Solanum lycopersicum: one gene and its partners. Each later gene encodes a partner of the first gene's protein in a complex. Links are inferred from orthologs where the notes say so. Each region holds a gene or a part of one and is shown on either strand. Other genes may lie near its edges.

Evidence for each region. Proteins that work in one complex are often made in the same cells at the same time.
Region 2: WPP domain-interacting tail-anchored protein 1 (region 1) and RAN GTPase-activating protein 1 share a complex: the UniProt entries of both Arabidopsis thaliana proteins name them as parts of the ran complex. The link is inferred for Solanum lycopersicum from reciprocal best matches to the Arabidopsis thaliana genes WIT1 and RANGAP1.
Region 3: WPP domain-interacting tail-anchored protein 1 (region 1) and RAN GTPase-activating protein 2 share a complex: the UniProt entries of both Arabidopsis thaliana proteins name them as parts of the ran complex. The link is inferred for Solanum lycopersicum from reciprocal best matches to the Arabidopsis thaliana genes WIT1 and RANGAP2.

What each region holds. Positions count from the first base shown.
Region 1 is NC_090801.1:52,973,153-52,977,321, reverse strand, and holds the start of WPP domain-interacting tail-anchored protein 1, read left to right. Parts: upstream 1-1,369; 5' UTR 1,370-1,507; intron 1,508-3,276; 5' UTR 3,277-3,297; coding exon 3,298-3,865; intron 3,866-4,169. UniProt on the Arabidopsis thaliana protein: Together with WIT2, required for the nuclear envelope docking of RANGAP proteins in root tips.
Region 2 is NC_090808.1:59,911,046-59,915,119, forward strand, and holds the start of RAN GTPase-activating protein 1, read right to left. Parts: upstream 2,801-4,074; 5' UTR 2,516-2,800; intron 1-2,515. UniProt on the Arabidopsis thaliana protein: GTPase activator for the nuclear Ras-related regulatory protein Ran, converting it to the putatively inactive GDP-bound state. Plays a role in spatial signaling during cell division.
Region 3 is NC_090800.1:74,925,740-74,929,841, reverse strand, and holds the start of RAN GTPase-activating protein 2, read right to left. Parts: upstream 2,801-4,102; 5' UTR 2,706-2,800; exon of another isoform or gene 2,657-2,705; intron 1,784-2,656; 5' UTR 1,773-1,783; coding exon 120-1,772; 3' UTR 1-119. UniProt on the Arabidopsis thaliana protein: GTPase activator for the nuclear Ras-related regulatory protein Ran, converting it to the putatively inactive GDP-bound state.

The DNA of each region.
Region 1 (4,169 bases):
AGTTGGGTGGCGTTCATCCTGAATGGATGGCGGGACGTCATATGTAGCTATGCTCCTGTATTCATCATATTGCTTTGAAGTTAGCTTGTTGTTGTTGTCAATAGGAGTTAGTGCAAGTTTTGCATTTCCCAATCCAGTTTCAGCAATAAGTTCTAATGCATATTTTCTCTGATGCATCAGTATGCCTTTACTTGACCTTTCAAACCCAATCCCTAAGAAGAACTTGAGTTCACCTAGATCCTTCATTTTGAAGGTCTGGTTCAATTTGTCTTTAGTTTCTTCAATAAGCTGAACACTACTTCCTGTAATTAACATATCATCAACATATATAAGAACAAACACTGACCCTGTTGATGTTTGCTTGATGAAAAAGGAATGATCGTGTTCACTTTGCTTGAACAGAAACCTTAGTAATGCCTCAGACAATTTTGCATTCCACTGTCTGGTAGCTTGTTTCAATCCATAGAAGGAGACCCTCAAATCCTTGAGGTAGCTTCATGTAGATTTCGTCTCCCTGAAGAAATGCATTGAATACATCCATTTGATGTATCTGCCAGTATTGTTATGCAGCAATATCTGCCAGTATTGTTATGCAGCAATAGTTAAGACAGCAATAAATAAAGTTTTCATTTATATATACATGACAACATACTAGTACAAGTATACATAAGGCAACAAATACAAATATACATATCAACAAATTAATGAATGTCCTCTTTCAGTGATACAAGATACAAACACACATGACAACAAATCTGTACAATACATATGCAATTTGTCGTGAAATACAATATTGATACAAATGTATTACACTTGAACTAGATGCAACATTGATACAATTAGTATTCACTGATACAATTGTATTCACTGATAAATATACGTACTAGTTACACATGTACAATTATCACAACAGGTATATAAATACAATTCACCTCTCTCTCCTCTTTCGCTTGTCTCTCTCCCCCTATCCAAATCTTGCTCACCTCTCTCCTCCTTCTAGCAACTAGTTTTGGTACAGATTAATTATGTCAATTGTATACATGATACAATTATTAATCGGATATACAAATTGATTGTGCCTCCTTCCCACATCTCGCTCACCACTTTCTTCCTTCTCCCAATCTCACTTGTCCCTATTCTCTCTATAAAATGCATCCACGAATCATAATCAAGCAAACTATAGCTAAAAAAACCCCGATTTTGTTGTTAGTCTTTAGTTGTTTTTGAAATTTCCTCTTATAAAATTCCCCGGGGTTTTTCATGGGCCGGGTTTAATAGCAGACGAGGCACTCAATGGGCCGATATATCAGTTCCTTTATAGACGGCCCAGTTAAAACCTTTTCGGTAAAGCTGACAAGAGAACACGTGCCCTATCATGTGACCATCACGTGCATAGAAGATGATAAAAAAATAATACAAAAATAAACAGAATTTCAAGTGAATCAAAAAAATAAATCAATTTTGAGACTAATCACTCTGTAGAACTCGCGAATTTACGGCAAGGAAGGTATGTGACTGATGAACTTCTCTAATCTTTGCTTAGTAAATCTGATATTCATCTAATAGCTGATAATTGTTGAGTAAGTAGACAAATTCCTTATAGTTTCTTGATCCTGTAGTTTTTTTAATCGTTAAAATTGATCATTTCTTCGTTGTGTTTGATTTGTTTTACTAATTATTGAGATGGGTGTTGAAAAGTTTCATCTTTTAAGTGTTTGGGAGTTAAATTTTTCTGATTTGGATCAGGGGTTTTCTCAAATGATGCGAATCTTGAGTGGAAATGGTTTCCTTTTCTTTTCTTGGAATGATTGATTTTACGGTTTATTTGAATTAATTGTTGTAGTTGGGTGTGTTAATAGTACTGTAATGGATGAGAAGTCTTTAGTTTCCACTGTTTATAGCTGGGTATAAAAGTAACTAATATTTGGTGGATGTGAGGATAGTGTATTGGTGATAATTTTGAGTATTATGGAGTATGATTTGAGATATTTGTCAAGGAAGGACTGAATTGGTGGAAAATATCTTCAAACACATTTCCAAGAATCAAAGGTAATGCACAAGAAGAAATGGTTTCCCATATGTTGTGTTGTTGTATCTTCTTATCTCTTTCCCTTAGATAGTTATTGAAGTCGCACATTTGCTGTTAATTTTTTATCTATACTAGCTGCACATTCATGACTTGTTATATAACTTTTATGGGTAAGAATTGCTTTCGACTCCCATACCCAATCTACATAACTTATGAAAGCTGATCTCAGAAGCAATATAGTTTTACCTCCATGGAGCTTTTAGTATATGTGAACAATCACTTTTTAGCTGTAACTGTCGTGGGAAGCATCTGTACTCTCATATCCTTTAAACCTTATAGTTTCTTTCGGTTCTTCCGGTTTCAAAGAGGATATGTTTACCAGAGATTTATTTATTGCGTGTTCATCTGTGTTATAATGTGTCACGGCTCGTCCCTTAAAGCCATGAAGTGATGCGAACTAGGTGTATCACTTTATGCACTTCTGACGAGTGAGACTGGAAATCCCAATGAGAAGTAGTCAATTCTTTGAATCTTACTTTAAAATATGAGAAAATAGAAGAGGAAAATTGAGATTTGCTATTTGAATAGTAGGGTTCAGATCCATGTATGTTTCCACGTTCTCGTTATTGTTATTGTGCTCTTTTTTTCTTCTTCTCGAGTTTGTAAGGCCTATCCATCTTGTTTGTCATTTGTTAGTAATGTCTATCTATCCATTACTTATGCTCTTATAGTTCTTTGGTTTCTGTTCTTTCTTCTTCATTTTCTTCAAATAAATGACTCTTTTTCTTCTAGTATGCAAGTCCTTTATCTCTGATATCTTTTAATTCTGGGCTCTCTTTTGCCTATCTCCTCTATTATCATAGTACAATTACTAAAGTAACCAAATATGACATTGCATTCTGCAAATTAATTTACTTAATGGTTGATTAATTGTAAATGAGAATTTGTTTAACGATTGGAGTTATCTTTTGATGGGCTTGTAGAATTATATTTGAATGATTTTTCTGAGGAGTTGGATTAATATCATCATTACTGTATATTGGATGCTGATATCAGTAATAATAATTGCGATTTGATTGTTGTATGTACTAAAACCATCTGTTTTTACTTTTAGTATTTCTTTATTTTCGATAAACTGTGCACTTACTTCAAAGAAGCGTGTGTTTCACTTACTACCTTTTACCTCTGAGATTCCTGCACCTTCACATTTTTTTTCCTTAAAAATATTGGTATTGGTTTATTTTCAGGTTAAAAAACGGGTTAGACTAATGAATGCTGACACAGCGAATGGTGCAACTACTTCCACTGAAGGTGTTAACACCAATGAAGTGGAGGTAGAATCAAATACAGTAGACTCTCTAGAAGTTTTGTCATCCAGTGGTGGTAATGTCATGCATGAAGTAGGAAGAATCGGGGAGATTTTAACAAGGCTTGAACTAGACTTGGCGTGTATCTCTGAGAAACTAGTTAATTTGGATTTATTTGTGATGCATGTGGAAACAAGAGAAAGTGACTTTGAGGCTTTTGCCTCTGAGAAGGAGGGCACTTCAAATGACATTGTTGAGAAGGCAATAGAGTTTGATCTCTTATCTGGGGTCCTGGATTCAGAGGTGACAGAGCTAAGCGGTTTATTATCTTCTGTTGCAACGGAGATTGACAATGTGCGGAAGGTCATATCTTCACGTGGCTATGCGGATGAGGCTTTCATTTTGATAGAAGAGAAGTTATACGACAGTGAGAAATCCCTCAAGCAGTTGCAGGACCACCTATTGGAATTGAGGGCGCAATGTACCAACTTCCATGGAATTATGCTCACCTCCCAGGGGGACCGAGATTGTGAGTTTATTTTTATTTTATGTTAATTTTGAAGGGATGGTTTCTTTACAGCATCCTGCTATCATTAAAAAAAATTCTTTACATCCTGCGTAATGCTGAATAGCTTTTGGAGCTTCAGTTAAAGAAATCTTGGGTTATGCTGCTCAAAATCCAGTGTGGTCAGTCCATTCCAAAGCAATCAAAGATGGGCTTCGGCGGAACCAATGCAAAGTGAATAGATCAGTCGAACTAAGATTCTACTTAGATATTCATGCATCATGGGAGCACGTTTATTATCATATTTGCCGTCATTATTATCATTATT
Region 2 (4,074 bases), on another chromosome or scaffold:
CAGTGGCGGATCAAGGATCTGAAGTTAGTAGGTGCTTCACTTTTTTTAACATTAAATTTTACTGTTCATTTAGTACAAGTGCAAATACTATTTAAACACAATAGTGAAAAACATTAACGCAAAAGTCATGTTTAATATTACTATCGGGAAAGAAGACTGAGTCAAATTATAATGTACTCGACGACTTTTCGCATTTTAAAATTAAAATGAGTAATAATAACATCTCTTACACTCGTGAATATCTTATGCTAAACATAGAAAATTAGACAGCTTAATAAGTATATAAAAATTACTTGTGGAGGATCAATCTCGTGACCTGCGGTACCACAGCTTCAGCACCCACTTACTAACCAACGAGTCACATCCAACAGTTATTTAACGGGTGCTTACTAATTAATTATATAGGTTGCATAGTATTTTTTATATACCTATATACATTTCACGTAGGGGTCCATGGGTGCTCGAGCACCGAAGCTCTATGTGGATCCGCACCTGCCTAGTGGTACTTTCCACAAGAAAGTACTATGGGAAACAAGACTAACAATTAACCACCAAGCATTATCAGCAACAAGCTTCGCTATTTTCCACACAGCACTGTTACTTTTGAGTTTCAAAGAAAAAGGAAGATTTCTTCCATAGTCTATCATTTGAATAATGTTTCTTACAAGTATATATCCTCAGGATAATAAACATGAGTTGTCCCACAACAAGCAAGTAGCAACAAACAGTTCTGAGTTCTGACATTTGACGTCAGTTAATATTAAATTGTTCCAATTTCTTGTCTTTTCTCAGCACCTTCCAAGCTTTTCAGCTGAGGTGCTGCAATGCACATAAAATAAGTACAGATGGCATCTTGTTTGCAGTCACTTGATCAGCAGATTTATTTTATCTCACTGCACTAGCAGAATGACCAATAAATGCAAGACTTCTAAAATGATATTAGTCATATGATAACAGTAAGGATCGTGCATATTGACATTCAGGTCATGGTCATAAGTTGCAAAACACAGACACAAGAGTTAAAATTACATACAAGCATCACACTGGTGCAATAAGGTAATATCTTCCTCAAACGAAACATCTCCCCTGTGCACCAAATACAATGTATTTAACTAAATGATAAATCATATATTTGATCCAAAAAAGGAAGTTGACTTCAGACTTTTAACCGTTATATCTTGTCAGTTGAGCAAATCTAAGCACTTACCATTAGAAGGCTAAGAGCTCGATTAATCTATTGAAGTATTATTGTTTCCCTTTTGTAGAGGGCCAAAAGGCTCACAAAAGGTGGTGAACTATTCCATTTTTGCTGCCATCTCATCTCCAAATAAAAAGAAAATGCACTTTTATGATAAGCTACTATCCATGATTCAAGATGACTATTCTTTTACTTCCCAAAGTAATTTCTAAAGTTTGTGAGCAAATATCACACAAAAACTCATTATGCTTGAGGCACCCAAGGGTGTGTCCCAGTGGTCAAGGAAAGGGGTTGAGAACCATGAGATCATGAGTTCATTTTCCATCAGCAGCAAAAACACTAGGTGATTTCTTCTTATTTGTTTAAGCCTTGGTTGACAGAGTTAACTGGTAATTGTGTTGGTGAAGGTAGAAGGTACCACATGGAATTAGTCAAGGTTCGAGCAAGTTTTTGAGTTCATATCTCAAAGTTTTTGAGTTTATAGCATTTGGTTTTTCCCTTGCATCAAGCAATAATTCAAATAGAATTCAAGAGAAAATAAGAAATAGATTTATTGGCATTTTGTGTTGATTAATGGGAAAATTTTCAGATAGCCACAGGACTAAAGACTCCATCTTTTGCTTCTCCCTCACTCCCTTCCTCTTGAAGACGAAGATTGATCGATCACGGAATCAAAACAAATTTTGTACTATTTCATTTGTCCGGCGTTGTTAGATAGAAGGAGCCATCAAGAACTAAGCATGCCTCTTTCAAATCACTGGGACTTCTCAAGTTTTCTACAGAGTACTACAGAAAAACAAAAACAATAATACTTGCCACTGAAGGTCTTAAGGAATAAGTGTAACCAGCAGAGCCATGAATAAGAGTTCACAAATCCCACTATATCACATTTCTTCCATTTTAGTACAAACAAAATCCAACCAAACACCTTCATCCTTAAGGCCATCATTAAAAAATGCATTTCCCTTCAATGTCCATTTCTAAATATACTAAACAAAACTAAAAACTGGCACACATAGAGCAGAACAGATACAAATGATTCACATTGTCTACATCAACTATTCTAAGATTTGAGGCATAACTCATTGAACTCCATCAAAATCTACACTGAAACATAAACTATATTCTAATTCAAATACTTAAAAGTGAGTCTCAGTATTCGTTAAAACGAAGCAGAAAATATCATTCAAATGATGAAAAAAAAGAAGGAAATGCAACCATAATTGAAGGAATAGACAAATGGAACAATACAAAACAAAATCAGACCTAAAATCTTCATGAATGAATGTAAACAGAGAGGAGTAAGAGGAAACTTACTGGTTGGAAGAAACCCTAGAAGTGGCGAAGTGGGATAAGAGAGAGATCCAAAAAACCCTAGAAAAGAGAGGGGAGAGAGACGTGGAGTTGGAGTAAAGATAAAGAGATAATTAAAACTAATTCAAATACAAGTTATGTGCAATCATGATAGTCGTGTGCTGCTGTCGTGAATTTTTGAGGAATTCGATTTGGAGGGAAAATGCCCCTTTTTTTAAGCCACAAAAAGGGCCAAAATTATTCTTTTAACTATTTGAAATAGGAGAATTAACTTGTGTGCACTATAGTGTAAAGTTTTTTATACTACACTCGTTAAATCTCATTTCTATTCTATTTCTTTTTAATATTTAAAAATATTCATCTGTTTAATTGTTTTCTCGCTCTCAAACTCTATAACAATCGTTCAACTTGGGATTTTTCTATTCATGGTTCTCTTTCCCCCTGAGCCGTTGAATTCCTCATCTAGAGTTTTATGATCTCTTTTATTAATCTGAAAATATCCACAAAAGGTCATCATTACCTATTGATATTTTGGGGAATTATTTTAAATTGCAGTAGATGTTTGTATTTGAATCTATTATTGATTCTTATGATGGTTTAATCTAATATTGTTATCTCCGATATCTTAGCAACCTCTTGGTATGTTCGATTAAGATTTTTTATTACTTTGTATAATCATAATTCACTAAAATGTTTTTTAAAATTAATTTTTTGATAGAAGATCATCTTATTAGTGTAGGCTAATGCCCGATTAGTACATGAAACAACAAATGACTTGGCCCAAAAAGTAGTACCCGGGTCCAAAAGGAAATAATATGTAGAGTTTCCAAAACTCTTCCATCAACTATCCTTTCACTTGACTTTCTTAAAACCCTACCCCATTTCCATCCTTTCTCCGCCGTTTCTAAGTTGTCTCCTTCATGGTTGACCAAGTAATCTTTGTGATTTTTGACGTGGTATCATTCCATCTAGCTCCTTGAATGCCTTTGAAGTTCTACCGCCCTCCTTGCTTACATGTAAGATTTTCGTCCTTATATCCTTCTTTTTCTTTCGTGTATGAGCTACTGATTCTCGTTCCCTTTCAGATCGAGGTGTAGTCCCAAGGGATCATAGGTGGGCTTCGTTTTTGCTCATATTTGACTCCGATTGTGCGCTTGATGTTCCGTTTATTCCTGGTGTCATTAACTCCCAACTCAAATAATTTGACCAACAAGCCCCCTTTATATTAAAGTTTCTTTTATAGCTAGAAACTCTATTTGTAGCTTTGTTTTGCTCAATTTTACTTCCCTCTAAGAAGCATACTTCATCTTGAAATATTTGTGCTTTATGCTTCCTCTTGTGTCTGATGTTTTTTAAATATGCATTCTGTTTACGTGACTATCTCCGTGATGTTTATTTATGTTATTTCCTTTATGTTCCTGCACTGCTTCCATTGAATGTTCATTTTGTGTGTTTTCACCTTCTAGTTGGTGTATGCGCCTTTTCTATATTTAGATATTTCCTTGTAATGCTTGGTAGCTCTTGAAAAAATTGATAGTTTTTTGTCTCCTGCGATTCTACTA
Region 3 (4,102 bases), on another chromosome or scaffold:
TACTGATGGAACTATATGTTAGAAGCACTTGCTGGAGGAACATAATATGGCCAGCTTAGCATAAAGAAAATGGTAAAACTAAAACTGCCACATGCAGAAAAATCGTCAAGTACTGGATTCTAATTGCTATCTGGTGCGTGTGCGTCAACACTTGCCTCTTGCTTGACGTCCAGGTTTTTCAGTTTTGATTCTAGTTCATCCTCAACGTCCTCATCTCCAGATTCTTTCTCCTCGTCACCCTCGTCTTCTCCTTCCGGGTCATTATCTTCCAGGGATGCAAGCATTTCAGGAGATTTCTTGAAGATCTCTTTCAACTCGTCAACGCCTTCTTCTGAGATGAAATTCCCATTAACATTTAGTAATTTAAACTCATCTTTCTGCAGCACAGTTTGAGCCAGCACCCTAGCCCCAGCCCTCCTTAGTGCATTGCTGCTCATATCAACTTCAGTCAGATGTTTGTGTCCTTCCAATGCCTTGGCAATCTGAATTACACCTTCATCCTTGAGTTCATTCTCACCCAAGCTTAACTTGGCAAGAAGCTGCTTTGCAGCTATACAAGAAGCTATTGCTGAAGCAGCTTCAGCAGTTATATCATTACCTGCCATCTCCAAGACAGCAAGTGAAGGGGCTGAATCTTTAAGAGCGTTAGCTATTGCAATTGCTCCTTCATCCTCTAAATTAAGGTAGCTCAGGTAAATTTCCTTAAGATTTTCATGTTGGCTGAGTGCCTTGCTCAACACAAGACCAACTTCTGGACCAAACATATTGTCTCGCAAATCAAGCTTCTTCAAATGGGAGCACATCCCAAGTGCTTCGCACAAGGCACTCCCTCCTTCAGAACCTACCCTGGTAGAAGAGCACCTGAAATCTTCCAATAAAGGAGAGCGCTTCACAATTTCCGCAATCGCAACAGCCCCTTCATCACCAGTCATATTATTATGAAAATGAAGAATTTTAAGCTTCTCGGTGGAAGGAACTAGCTCGCTAACAGCATTTGCAGCTTCCTGTGAAATCCCATCATTCATCAAAAATAATTCTTCCAAGTTGGTTTGAGACTGAAGGAGCTTTCCAAATGCCCTAACTCCCTTCTCACCAAGAGCATTATCAGAGAGATTCAGAAACTTCAAGTTAGAACCTTCTAGAGCTTCTGAGAATATATTCATGACATCAAGTGCTTCAGCCTCATTTCTTCCGGCAACAAAATCTGACAAATCAACTTCCTTCAACTGATCCTTCAAGGTTGCCAAGATAGGGCCTGCAATACGTGCTGCATCTATACCAAAGCTTCTATTGCTGAAACAAATTTTGCTGTAAGAGTTTCCAGGCTCTTTTAATGGCTTTAAAAGTTCTTGAGCCTCTTCCGCTTCAATAAAAGCCCTTTTACCTTTTGAGATATCAAAAAAGGTCTCCTGAACAGTAGGAACTACCTCAGAAATCGAAATTTCCTTGTCCTCTGATTTGGGAGTCTTTTTTAGAATTTCCAGGATAAGCTTGCTACATTCCCTGGCATAAAGTTGCACAGCAGAACTTCCATCACCATCAGGCTCCTTCTCATAATGTTGATTAGCAATGGTAAAAGCTGCATCTTCAATTTCTTCAGCATTTTTGGCAGCCTCTTCCTTGGATAGACTGCGGTACTTGCGGGTGAAAATGGTTGGACTAGAAAGATTATTCGTCATTCTTTCCACCAGCATTTTTCTTGTGTTCTCACTTGGAGGCCACAGTTTAATTGAAAACGGTCTGCGCTGAGAGTTATCTGTTGTGGCATCCATTGGCAGAAAACCTAGAGTGAAAGGAATATAGTGAATCGTGTCTTTAGTTTCTATAGAAAAATAAAGTGATTATCTTTCAAGAAATATAACCACTATAAGATTAAGCTCTGGCAGTTAAAAACATAACAACCAAAAAACAAAGTACCAGGCAAGAAACAATTCGTGCACACCTACAAGAAAAACTTAACATAAAGCGAATCAAATTTCAAGAGCTCAAATTCTTCGTCATAGAAATCAGATATAATTGTTTGACAACTCAATATTTTCGCCACAAAACACCAAGCAGGTGTCTAAAAGAACGGGAAAGTTTCTACAGTCATCCATCATCAAAAACGAGATTGAATTTTCTCTCATTTTATAACCACCTTGCAATGCACCATATTCATATCCAACAATGTAAAAAAAAACTCAAAAACCAAAAATGGTACATTCCCAGGTATATTCACATTTCACACTATAACACAAAAAAACTTTCTAGGATACAAAAAAAAATACCACACATTACCAAGGAATCATATGAGCAGAACAGAGCAACATATATACAATTTACAGAGCCGCTAAAAACACCAGAAACTTGTAATACAAAACAAAAATCCTTCTTTTTCCCCTACAAACAAAGAAATTTCACGAGAAAAATAAAAACTTTATACCTAACAGTGGGGGTTTGTAGAGTGTAGTCCTCCTCCCAGTAATTGCAACCTCTACTCTACCAACCCCAAAATAATAAACATAAAAAAACTACATAAAAGCAAAAACTAAAGCACATTAAACAAGAAAAAATACTAAAATCCAGCACAGATCTGTGAAATCACATGACCAAAAAAGTTGACTCATACAGAGCATAACCGCGAAAACCCTAAAAATCAAGAGAAAAAGAAAATTACTTTTGGGGATTTTTCTAATTACCGTTGGAGTGAGTGTGTTGTAACTCACCGGCAAACAACGAGAGAGAATGTGTGAGTTCGACGCGCCGCCGGAGAGAGTGGAAGTGAAGAAAATCTCAACTGAAAATGAAGTTAGCAATGTGTGCTGTGTGTTGTGTGGGAACAGTGTTTTTATATTCGACTATCTTGTACTCGAGAGATAACCTAATGTAAAAAAAATATATATATATTTTGAATAATAACTTTTTTTCTTAGTTTAAAATAAACAAATCATTCAAAATCAAAGAATTGTTGGATTTCTTTTTCAAAATATTTTTTATTTAATGAGAATAATTATTACAAAATTAAGCTCATAACAATATAGTTATAAATTGAAAATGGCAAGACATGAAGATAAAGGAGATAATTCTTTTTCTATTACGGTGTATTTTATAAGTATGAAATATTTATATTTATAGATTCAAAAAATCACTCATAAAATAATCTATATGTATAACAGGAAAGGTGATAGTGCTTTCGCGTAAGCGCCACAAAAAATAATATTTTTTTAAAAATAAAAGTTATAAATTGTATTTGAAAAAACTCGTGTATTGATAGTTAGTCATAATTATCAATCCATCAATATATATATATATATATATATATATATAGGTGATAGCGCGCCAAAAAAATAATATTTTTTTAAAATAAAAATTATAACATTGTTTTGAAAAAAAATAAGACATGTTTATTGGTAGTTAGTCGAGGGCTTTTAATCTTTATTTTGAAAAAAATAATTGTAATTTTACTTTTTAAAAATATTATTTTTATAGTACCTACGTGTCAACGCTACAAAAAATAAAATTACAAAATTGTATTTGAAAAAAAAAAACACGTATATTATTAGTTAGTCATATGGGGTTTAATTTTTATTTTGAAAAAAATAATGGTTATCCAACTAAAAAGTTTCAAAACTTCCTACTACACTTCTATTTCTACACAAATTGAAATTTTCTAAAATTAAAGTGCTACTCTTTTAACTTTTTCGTGTTTATATTGTCGAATTTAAAAGTGAGAATATAACAAATTTTGTTCACTATATTAATTTATATCTCTTATTATTATTAGATTTTTATCTATCATAAACATAGAAAGCAATAAATTATGTTCATCATAATATTACTTTAAACAATATCATAATTTTAAGCCATTTAGGCTTTAGCAAATTTAAACTATTCACGAGATTATATGATGTTAGTGAGCAATTTAATATGTTAAATATTAATATTAAAATGCTAATAAACTAACATCTAACAAGATTAAATTAAGTTAAAATTTGCAATATAACTATAATTACACGTAATACAATAACGTCTCATTTTCATGATTTCATCTATATATTTTCTTATACAATTAAAATTTAATATGTCCAACACATACATTGAGTAAATTTAATATAACGGTTGT